Mus musculus: one gene and its partner. The protein of the gene in region 1 interacts with the protein of each later gene in a pairwise test. Links are inferred from orthologs where the notes say so. Each region holds a gene or a part of one and is shown on either strand. Other genes may lie near its edges.

The links.
Region 2: the proteins of Fa2h (region 1) and Erlin1 interact in binary tests that used the Homo sapiens proteins (3 or more experiments, as listed by UniProt). The two-hybrid records come from large-scale screens. The link is inferred for Mus musculus from reciprocal best matches to the Homo sapiens genes FA2H and ERLIN1.

The regions. Positions count from the first base shown.
Region 1 is NC_000074.6:111,390,767-111,396,698, reverse strand, and holds the start of Fa2h (fatty acid 2-hydroxylase), read left to right. Parts: upstream 1-2,877; 5' UTR 2,878-2,946; coding exon 2,947-3,216; intron 3,217-5,932. UniProt on the Homo sapiens protein: Catalyzes the hydroxylation of free fatty acids at the C-2 position to produce 2-hydroxy fatty acids, which are building blocks of sphingolipids and glycosphingolipids common in neural tissue and epidermis.
Region 2 is NC_000085.6:44,065,888-44,071,819, reverse strand, and holds the start of Erlin1 (erlin-1), read left to right. Parts: upstream 1-2,034; 5' UTR 2,035-2,129; exon of another isoform or gene 2,130-2,424; 5' UTR 2,425-2,435; coding exon 2,436-2,548; intron 2,549-4,138; coding exon 4,139-4,220; intron 4,221-5,932. UniProt on the Homo sapiens protein: Component of the ERLIN1/ERLIN2 complex which mediates the endoplasmic reticulum-associated degradation (ERAD) of inositol 1,4,5-trisphosphate receptors (IP3Rs).

The DNA.
Region 1 (5,932 bases):
GGCTAGCCTGGTCTACCTAATGAGTCCAGGCCAGCCAGAGCTACATGGTGAAACTCCATCTCAAAACAAACAAACAAACAAACAAACAACAAGATGTGAGCATGACATACACACTCCTCTTGTTTCCCACTACAGTGTCCTGGATCTTGTTCCATCCACTAACCATGGGTCTGCCTGATCCTCTCTAATGGCTACATGGTATTTGCTACCATCCCTCCTTCATGGTGGCTGTATCTACTCTCTAAACAATGTTGTAATTACTGCTATTAATTATACATCTTTTGAAATAGCATATCTGCACGATCACAAATCTAGACAGGAAGTTACTAGGGCAAAAACATGCGTATCACAATTCTGAATGGACAGTCAGTCTGCTTGTTCAGCTTCAGACAAGGCAGTGAGGGACAGATAGTGAGGAGCTTTCCCACAGACGATATCCTCCAACACACTCAGGAGCCTGTGCCTGTCTGCTTTTACCACATATTTGGAACACAGTAGATGTGAAAATGGGGTGAGGGTGACCATTCAGGTCTTGTTGCCCAGGCCTGATGGCTACATGTTCCTTAGCACATCTAAAGTCACAGTAGAACTTTTACCTATGCCTGGAGGGTGAGACCAGCTAGTCAGACTTCCCGTCCTACTGTTGTAGTGGCCCCGAGGCTTCTGAGACAGGCTTACCACACAGTGCTAGCTAGCCCTGTTGTCTGGACAACAAGCACAAGCAACCTGGGAAAAGCTTTTCGGCAGGGGTTGGGGGCAGGACAAAAGTCATCTGGATGGGGCAGCCTCAGAACTGGCAGTTTGATCACTAATCAGGATCCATGGCTGAGCAATGAAAGCTGTATGTGGGTTTCCTTGTTATTAACAAGGTTCTGATGACACACTCAGTCTACAGGCTTTGCCTCTAAGGCCCCTACTTTTCCTTGTAGAAAGGAGGCACGATTCCCTGTCCTCCCTCCAGGATTCTGTCCCAGGCGTCATGATGTAAGACAAAATTGAGGCACCAAAATTTAAGAGCCTACGAAAAAATTCAAGATAACTTTGAATCTCAAATCAAATGCTTTAAAGTTTTTTTTTTAATTATGTGTGTTCCTAGATGAGGTGATGCACACCTTTGATCCTGGTACATAGGAGGAAGAGGCAGGCAAATCTATATGAATTTAAGGCTAGTCTGGTCTATAAAGTGAGTTCTATAGATACAGTGAGATCCTGTCTCAGAGAGAGAAAGAGAGAGAGAGAGAGAGAGAGAGAGAGAGAGAGAGAGAGAGAGAGAGAATGTGTGTTCCTGTGCAGACCAGGGAGGGTACAATTCTTTGGAGCTGGAGTTAGTTATAGGTGATTGTGAGCTGCCTGCTGGGAGCTGAACCCTAGTGCTCAGGAAGAGCAGTGAAGGGTCTTAGCAATTCTCTCTCTAGACCCACCATAAATAATTTTTCCTTCTTGGAAATATTACAAGTTTTATTCTCCATTCACTGGATTGTGGCTCATCCAGAAATCAAGAATACAATGATCAGTCAGAATAAAAGATCTCACAAAAGAGATGACGTGTGCACACACCCATCAGTTGCCAGGCAGGCCAGCAGTTCACCTCTACCTCTGAAGGGCTCCAAAGCCACTGCCCTTCCCTAACAAGAGAAAAGAGGAGGAGGCTGGGGGTGAGGGCACTGAATCAGCCATGTCTTTATTACAAGATTGTGAGGTGACAGATTTGCTGATAGGTGGACAGATATACAGTAAATTCATAAGTCAATAAAGTAAATAGAAATTCCCAGGATAAACACTTCACTAGTCTTCCACAACTCAGAACTAATGCAAAAGGTCCACAATGAACCCAATAGAAAATGCTTAAATAAAAACACAATCCAGCTATGCGGCTTCCCAAAGCTGTCTTACTAATAATGGCTTTTATTTCCATACAATATAATTTATAAAAACATCTGGAAGGCTGGCCCGGTGGTTAAGAGCACTGGCTGCTCTTTCAGAGGACCAGGGCTGCCAGCATATACACAACTCCTCACAAACTTCCCACAAATCTCCAGTTCCAGAGGATTGACACTCTCTTCTGACCGCCAGAGGGATGGCATGCGCATATGCATACACACACTCATACACAAAGTAAAATAAATCCTTTTTTAAAGTCGTCTGTTCACTCACCCAATGCACCCAGTGAAATATGTTTTGGGATTTTTTTGTTTCATTTTTATTTAAAATTGTAATAAAATGTGTACAATATACGTTTCAGAAATAAATATTCAGCATTTAGATGCGCATTCACACGGTGGGACGACGTAAGTTTTTAAACATTAAATATAACTATATATAATATTTAATTATATAATATATAATATTTAATTATTTAAATATATAATAGATACTATATAATAATTATATATAATTATATGTGATTAAATATTAAATATAATTAATTTCCAAATATTAAATATATTGTGGCTGAGTTTATATATTTCATACCCCCCAACCCCTGGGACTAGACCAGACCTCCGCCCTAGTGACTCTTGTCCTTGGCACCTCTTGAAACTGCCGAATTGAATACAGTAAGTTTCCCCCTTGAAGATGCGGTTCCTTGAAGATGTAGAAGTTGCGTGCCCGCCGAGGAGGTGGTCCTGACAGTCACCTTCAATGCGCTGGCATCCACCAGCAGCCGGGCACACCTGGTGGGCACGCCCTCTACCTGCCCAGGGCTACCTGGCGGGCCGCGCTCAGCGTCTTGCTCTCGGGGCTCGGGTCCCTGCGGGCCAATGGGGAGGCGGCTCCGGGCAGCAGCCGCGTCCCACCGAGTGGCCAATGGGAGCAGGGCATGCAAATGAGCAGGTGCGGTGGCGGCCGGCCCGTTGCGGCTGCCCCGGCTCCCGAGATGTTAGAGGCGCGCTGGGCAGCCGCGGAGCAGACTGCCGGGCTCCGAGATCCGAGCTCCGCTCTCCCGCCATGGCCCCCGCTCCGCCCCCCGCCGCCTCTTTCACGCCCGCCGAGGTCCAGCGGCGCCTGGCGGCCGGTGCCTGCTGGGTCCGCCGCGGGGCCAGCCTCTACGACCTCACCAGCTTCGTGCGGCATCATCCGGGGGGCGAGCAGCTGCTGCTGGCGCGGGCTGGCCAGGACATCAGTGCCGACCTGGATGGGCCACCTCACAGACACTCCGACAACGCCCGCCGCTGGCTGGAGCAGTACTATGTGGGCGAACTGCGAGCGGACCCGCAGGTACCAGGCGGCCCGGGGCACTCCCCGCTCCCTGCCTCACACCCCTCCCCCAGTCCGCCACTTTAGAGAGCTCAGATCACCTGCCCTCTAGGAGAACGCAAGGTGACAGCCTCCACCCTCACTTCCCTCCGTTTTCCCAGTTTCTCTCCAGGTAACCGGTCACTGACACCCCCTCTCCCATCCCCCTATTTCCCGTTCCTATCACCAGGAGCTTGGTGTTCCCGCTACCCCCCTGACCCGGCTGCATCCTCCTTCCAACATGTCCCTTCTGCAGCCCCCCTACCGCCTGACAACTTCGACTCCTGTTTCTGCCTCCAGCCACTACCTCCCACCCCACCCCCTTTCTCTCTTCTCTTCCTTTTCCTTTATCAGCCTTTCTGGTTTCCTTTCTTGTTTCAGTAGTGGGTCCCTAGGCTCACCTGGCCTCAGTTTCTCCATCCCACCACTCTCTTGGTTCAAGGAGACACAAATCCAAAACTCTGCTCTGCCCCCTTCAGGGGCTCCTGTGGGTGAGTGAGTGAGGGGCCCGAACAGCGTTTTATTGATTCTATCCTCCAGCCCCCGGTTTTATTTCCGTCCTAAACAGTGTTGTGGGTTTGAAAGAGTGAAATAAAATACACGAACCAGCTTGCTAAGGAGAAGTCGATATTTCTAACCCAGACTATGCTAAACTCTCGGTACTGCTGTGTGGTACAGACTCATCTTGGATTTTTACCTTCAACCCATCCTGGGTGTTATTCTCATTTCAGGATGTGGAAACAAGGGTTCAGTGAAGTTCTATAAATGTCTGAGGTCAAACAACTAGGTAGTACAAAAATCAAGTGTTTCTTATTCAAGAATCAAAGTCGTCTCCATCTGGAGGGTTGGGAGACAGAGCTCTTGGTAGACTCAGGTGGAGCCAAGCTAACTCCTTATTCTCAAGCCTGATAGCAGGACTGGTGACAGCAAGGCCATCGTGATTAGGTTAAAGCAACGGTTGGTCCTTGTTGCTCGCGATCTTTCAAGTGCTTTTAGATCTTTAGATGAAAGGACATGCTGTCCACTGTTCCAAGAGACACCTCTTATCCATCTTGCCTAATTCTTATCTCTTAGTCACTTACTTGGTTCTTAAACGGATTGACGACACTGTGCTGGGCACCAACAGCCATTGAACAGAAATGGTTACCATTTTCATGGAGTGAACAAGTTCATAAGGAACCTTACTATGGACTCGGTCATTGTTTAATTACATTTATTAATATTTATAATATTTGCATACTGGGTCTGGAGCAGGTTCAGTAAGAGCTACCTTGAAGAAAGTGACATTTTCACCAAGAGCTAATTGAAGACAGAGCTTAGCCAAAAGTGGTAAGAAGAACATTCCAGACAGAGGAATAGCATGTATTAAAAAACAAACAAACAAACAAACAAACAAACTGTGGCACAGTCAAGAGACAGCAATGGAACCAAGGTGACCAAGGGCTGGCAGGTCAAGGGAAGAAAGAGGTGGGAGCTAGAAGTTATTGGGGCTTGATCAAAGGGCCTCAAAGGCTGTGGTTGGGGGTTTGGGGGCTTGACTTGCAAGGCTAAAGGACTTAAGCTGAAGAGTGGTGCGGAAAGATTTGCATCTTCGGAAGAGTAGCCTTGCTCCAGTGACAAGGAGCGGAGGGAACTCCAGTGGATGTAAGGAGTTCCAGAGAAAAGGCATAGTTTAACCACCATGACCAGAAGGGAAAGGAGATTTCATAATAGAAGATTTGACAGATTTCATAAACTGTCCAGACTTGGCATTCGACAGCGGGGAACCCAGAACAGTATAGGGAGCTGGTGTTTGGTGTCAGGTCTTGCTGACAGAACAGAAGCTTTGCTGTGAGAAAAATTGCTACAGAGATCAGTGAGCAGTTAGGATCAGAACACTGGAGATGGCCAGGCCTGTGAGGGTACATGGACCTGCCCTGTATTGTAACTGTGTTCTGCAGTCGGGAGCCTGAGGGTGTGGCCTCTCTACTCAGTACCATTCTGAATGTCACTCCCTCCCCTGCACTGGATGGCCCCACCTTCCTGCTTTGCCAACCACCCAGCGTCAGGATTTGGTTTGGTTTCACCTTGCCCTGCCTGACCCCTAGGGTCAGAGAGAACTCAGAGGCAAAACCAGTTCACCCTGGGCTCCCTACACCTGCTCTTTACCTGTTATATCCCCAAGTCCCAGTGTGGTCACGTTGCAAACAGATTTCTGGGCCCCAAACTGGGGGTATAGAGAAAACTAAAATCTAAGAGTATAACTCCAGGCCCACAGACCTAATCTGGCCAGCAGCCAAAGTCACCCTAGTTCAGTAGGGGCACTCTGTGTCTTCTTCCATAAAGAAGGCTCACCCCACTTTTTCCCCTGTTCCCTACTTTGCCACACCCCTATGTACGCACTGCACACACACACATTCACACTCACACAAAGGCACATACAGAGAACAAGTCAGACTTGTTTGAGCTAACATACTGTGGGGTAGGGGAGATGAAAGATCTGTAGCTGATCGGGGAAGCTATCTCACCATCCCTGGCTGCCAGAGGCCAGTGGGATCAAGCCCCTTAGCCTAGGCATGGAGAGAAGTGCTCTCCCACCTGTGGACATGAAGCCCTGTTGTGAACACCACTTCAAAAAAGAAGCAGAGCTGGTGAGTGGCTGGGTGGGTAAGGGCGCTTGCCACCAAACATAATGACCTACCTGAGTTGGATCCCTGGA
Region 2 (5,932 bases), on another chromosome or scaffold:
CTTTCTGTTTTGTTTCTGAGACAGGCTGGCCTGAAACTCACTCTTCCTGCCTCCACTTCCCGGCTGGGATTTCAGGCATGTGCTTCCACGACCTGCTTTTTTTTGGCAGGGGAAGGGTGTTGTGATCATAAAAAGAGAAAGAGCTATAAGAATATGTTCTGGCACAATGTTGGGGAAGGGGGTGCCTCAGCGGGCCCATTGCCAAGGCATCCCCTCCCCCTGAGGGACCAGACACACACCAATATAGTATAGAATAGAGTTTATTTAGGGCACGGGGAGGGGAGTTAAGAGGGTAGTAGAGGCAGAGAATGGCAGAGAGTAGAGAAGTAGGGACAGGCCATGGCCACCTGGAGGGGGGCAGGGGAACGGGATGGGAAACAAGGAGGCAAGAGGTAAGAGAGGCAAGAGCTTAAGAGTGAGAGGAGGAGCCAAGCAGCCCCTTTTATGGGGCCACGCCTACCTGGCTGTTGCCAGGTAACTGGGGGGTGGTGGGGGAGCATATGTGGCTGCTGCCAGGAACTGTAAGAGTGGAGCTTAGACAGAATACCAACAAAGGGGACCAGAGGAGATGAAAATAGCTAAACTGTAATATTGGTCTGCAACAAACAAGGTCCCATACATTCCGTGGTAATAAAAATCAAATGCACGATACAGGTTAGTGCATGTATTGAAGGGGTGTGGCTAGATTTGCTCTTACAAAGGCCTGAATTGATTCTCTTGCCTGTCATTCTCTTTGTTACTAGCATCATACATAACCTTGTATTTGCTGTTGTATATCCGTTTCCCAGTTTCCTGTCTGTCTTCACTCTCAGCCAGTTACAGATACAATGCCCCAAAAGCACTGCTTTCTGGTATTTTCCTGCACAGGAGTTTGGTAATCCTTCCAACCTTGTTAACCTTTTCTAGTTGTCTCTGCCCTTAGTGAAATAGAATGCCCTTATTTCCCATGTGTCCCTATATCTCTAAACTCTACCCTTTCCTTTTAGTTTTTGTTTTGTAATACATGCACATGGTGTGGGTTTATTCCCTAAACCTTTTATGATTATTAATTATTGTGTGTGTTGGTGTGTGGTGTGGGGCATGGACCTTTATGTGTGGAGATCAGAGGACAACTTGTGGAGTCAGTTCTCTGCTTTTCACTTCTGTGTGAGGTCTAGGGTGAAAATGAAGTCCTCAGGAGTTCACAAACTCCTCTACCCACTGAGCTATCTCACCAGGTCCACGTGGTATAGAATGTTAAAATACAGTGAAAAAAAAAAAAGGTCGATTCCCAGCACCGATGTGGCAGTTCACAACAGCCTTTAACTCTGGTTCCACGGGATTCAATGCCCTCTTGTGACTGCTGAGGGCACCAGGCACACAGATAGTGACTGACATGCATGCAGGCCTAACAGCCATAAATGAAGTCACTGTCTTCTTGTCATACATTTTCTCTATCAGCAGAAAAATGGATCCTAGACTTTGTAAATCTGGTTCTAGCCTATCTTGCCATACAACTCCTTTCAACCTTATCGCCGTCATGAAAACTCAAGCGTTCACTACTCATTTTGGCCTACAAGACAATCCCGACCTCCACATTCAACATACATATATCATTCTGATCCTGTTTCTGGGTGGCTTTCAGAAAGCACTCTGGTGTAGCATTCTGGCACAAAATAAATATTCAGGCCAAGTCTGAATGGTTAATTCTGGTTGAATAGCTTCCTCTTCTGAACTCGAACCCCTGATTCCTTGAGACTGGTCTGGTAGTTTCCCTAGTGCAGGGTGTGTACCTGGAGAATGTGCTTGCCAGTTGGACTAGGGACGAACCACAAAAGGATGCAGGAACAACTCCTACACTGAGGGGCTGGTCCTGTGCACTAGCATGCCTCAACCAGCGTCTGTCCGAGTGACCCACCCCAGGAGACTTGGTCCTCGTCTGGGCACTTAGAATCACTACACTGTGCGCGCACCCGGGGCCAATTTTGTCCCGCCCGCGCACCGTCTCGCGAGTCGCGGGCGGGGGCTGCGTCGCCTGCGTCCCCGCGCAGCCGCAGTACCGGGCAGGTGGGCGGGGCCGGCTGTTGGCAGCAGTTGGCGGGGCCGGGTGGCGGCTGCACGTGCGGGCGGGGGCGATGCGTCACTGACCGGTGAGGCGAGGCTCGGGGGTCGCGGTCCTCCGAGTGCCTGCGATCAAGGCCGCCCTCAGTCGGGACCTAACGCTTGGGGAGTCGGGGAAGAGGTGTCACGACGTACGCCGAGCCGGGGGCACCCGCGCAGGGGGTTGGCGAGGGGAGCGCTTAGCTGAGAGAGAGAGAGAGAGAGCCCGGGGCCGGAGCGCGGGGCTTCCCGCCTCAGCCGCCCGCGACCGTACGCGGGCTCTTCCCTGGGTGGGGACTGGCCTGTCACTCAACGGACTGAGGTTCCTCTTCTCCCCATGCTCAGGAGGAACAAGGATGAATATGACTCAAGCCCGGCTTCTGGTGGCTGCAGTGGTGGGGTTGGTGGCGATCCTCCTGTACGCCTCCATCCACAAGATCGAAGAGGGACACTTGGCCGTGTACTACAGGTGAGCGCCGCCCTGTGCAGCCCGCGATGGTTCTAGAAGCACAGTGGAAGGGTCCAATGGGTCACAGCGAAGTCTGGGAAGTTGCTCTTTTCCGCGGCGTCAGGGGAGCTGCTTCCAGCCCTGCCTGGGAAGTGGTTTCATCCCAGCTGCCGGGAGTTAACCTTTGGCGGGGCACTTTTCCGTTGTCGGGGCAGTTTAGTGCCAAGTTCGTTCTGTACAGAATTGAAGACACCTTAGGGGGCACGGAAGTAGTCACTGCAACCGAGATGACTTCTCATAGTCCGCACAACTGCACAGGTGTTTAGTTTGCCGCTGTGGATTTTTTCCGGATCTCTGTCTTACATAAAGACAGTTCTCCCCAACACTAAGTTGGGTTTTTTCTTCTTCATTAAAAAATCTCCCATTGTCTGGTTATGTCCCCCAAAGTCTTCATGACCAGAGCAATGTCATATATCCCTAAAGGCCAAGAGACAAAAACCACATTTGCAGGCCACTTTTCTCACTTTTTTTTTTTCAAGTCAAGGTGAAAAAGAGTGTGGACTCAGTTGCCATCCACCTGATTTGGCATAAATCAAGTCTAACTTCCCACCAGGTCCTCGTGGTATAAGCTGGGAAGAGAAGCCAGTTTGTGGACAACTTGGGATAGTGGTTTATTCTGAAACAAGCAGATTTTTGAATATTTCCATCATGCCCCCTAAACTGGTATTTCTACTTTTAGATCAGTCCAGAATCCTAGAAAATACATACTTTTGGTGGTATGTCTTAACAGATGGAGTTCTAGCATAAGAAATACCAGCCTGGACCACATTTCCATCCAGTTTATCACTGTCCTTCTGACAGGAAAACCACGAAGAGAACATACGGAGATACCACTCCAAAAAAAATGACTAATGAACCTGCAAAGGTTCATCTTTTGAGTTATGACTTAGGACAAGGATGAATGTTGTGGGAACTTACTATTCGTTGTGTAAAGTAGGACTTTGTGTTGTATTTGTCCCAAATTTGCAGGGGGTGCTTTCACCGTTCACATACTACAGAGTTTGATAAACAAGCCCCTCTCTCAGCTGTCAACTCAACCCTTTCGCTGTCTGTCTTTCCATGCTAGGTTTTTGTTACCTTTAGACAGAAACCATCCCCCTAGGATTGGACTCATGTATTGAAAGAACCATTAGCCTCAGAAAGTTTCTTCTTCCTTGAAAGTTTGGTTTTTTCCTTTTTTAAACTTAGCGATTAAATGTATTGTTTTGATTTGTCTCTTGTTATGTGTCATTAATTGAGAGTCATTAGAATTTTTTCCATAAGTATTTATCGGCAAACTAAAGACCAGAGAGGATCTTTTGAACCCAAGAGCAGTGCTAGAGACGCAGAGGTGTGGTTGGTGGAGCTTATGAAACAGGGTGCAATATTGGCAGTGGACTTGGATGCATTTTCACACTTTTAAATGTGATGGATGTTTGAAGTAGCAGTTGTTGAGTCACTCTGTTGTGAGGGTAGTAGGTTAGTAACATGAATATGAGTGAATGTTTGTTATAGCATTTTAAGTTGAAAAGAGATCCGAACAGTTTTGTCAACTGGAACGTCTTTTTGCAGGGGAGGAGCTTTGCTAACGAGCCCCAGTGGACCAGGCTATCATATCATGTTGCCTTTCATTACAACATTCAGATCTGTGCAGGTGAGTGACTCCTAGGGATTCCAGATAGACAGGTGTGACAGGAGTTACCGCACTGGTGGGTGGAGACGGAGTTCCTTATTGCTTAAGCAAACGTTGGTATTTACTCAGATGGGAAGTGAAAGTTCATAGTACAACTGTCACAGCACAAGTCATGATGTCAAACTGCCTTGCCAAGACTGCCTTCTGGCTAATGGTATTAGCAGGTTTTCTGTTACTGAAGTCAAAACAAAAGAAGAATTGAAAACACAATTAGGAATACAAATTAGTGATACCTTGGTTTAGAACTGTTTGGTTTCTACAGAGGCAGGCTCCCAGCCTACTGCTAACATGGAGGAATACATTTCAATACACAGCTTTTCAGCCTCACATTTTTGCTTGGTAAATTAAATGCAAATTTATGAGGCACCTGAATGAATGTGGTACTTTGACAGTGTTTCAGAATGTTTGAAATACAAATCTCGTTCTTGCAAAAAGTATCATGGTCCTAGGCCGTACTTAATAAATAACTCTGACATCACAAGAATGCAGAGCAGGATTGGGTTCTCGCTGATTCTGTAACCTCAGTGGGATCATAAATGTTTGAATTCAGTTTTATTTCAAATCTGCTGCAGAGTTTTCAGGAAACAGGAGAAGTCGGTATTATTCATATTCTCATGTTAGCCTTCAGTTTTGTGCTAAGTGAGAGCAACTGTGAATAGCCAGTTCTCCTTGGTTTCTTTTCTGTCCCTTCTCAATGGCTTACGGAAGTATTGTGCCTATTAAAGTGAGGCCTGGCGAAGCTGGTGAACGTGGTGAGGCCCGGGTTCTTTTTCTAGTCACAATGATTTCCAGATTGGCTTCCCATATTTGACTCACACTTTTGAAGGTTCTTTTTTAAAACCGTATCTTATGTATAGCAATACAATTAACACTTAGTATCACTGTAATAGAATGAATTGATATATTTTTAAACAAAAGAAAAAAGAGAAATGTTTTAGGTTATAAAACCTTTTCCCTTAGAACAATTATTTTATATTACTCTTTCTAAATGTTTTGGTGTGACAGATGTGCCCAGTGACTGGTACTTTGTACCCATTTTCTGATCATCGGTTGCTGATGTCTACTTCATTCCCTGTGCCTTCCTGTGCCGCCTGTGTCTTGCTGGCCTGTTTTAGGCTCATCCCAGTTTCTCTCTTCTGACCGTAGCGTACCAGCAGTTCTTGACAGTCCCAAAGTTACCAGTGGCATCATCAGACTGAGAGCCTGGGCTCCTTCTTAGATCTTGTTCAGAGCCAGGCAAATCTGTCTGCCTTCCTGAAACCCACTGTTAAGCAACATGGTGCAGCAGTAACATGAAGTAGATATAGGCAATAATAGTAAATAGATTTTAACCATTTGTATATAGCAAATATGCTGTGTGATCATCAGAAATAAGTGAAATTAATAAAAAGATTTCAACCTAAACTATCATAATTTTCTGTTTTGATTATTAATTACTTAAAAGTTAAATGTTACAGGCAGTGTTACAAAATAGGAATGTTCTTTTTTTACAAAAAAAAAAAAAAACAAAGAAGGCAGCATTCTAAGCAAAAATTACATTAACAAAACCCTTCTAAGGAACTCTTCTTAAGCAGAGTCATAAATTTACATTTTGGAATTTAGGGAACATTAGAGGATGCAGCTCTATTTAAACAAATGGTTTCACATAATACTCGAAGGAACTAATATTCATT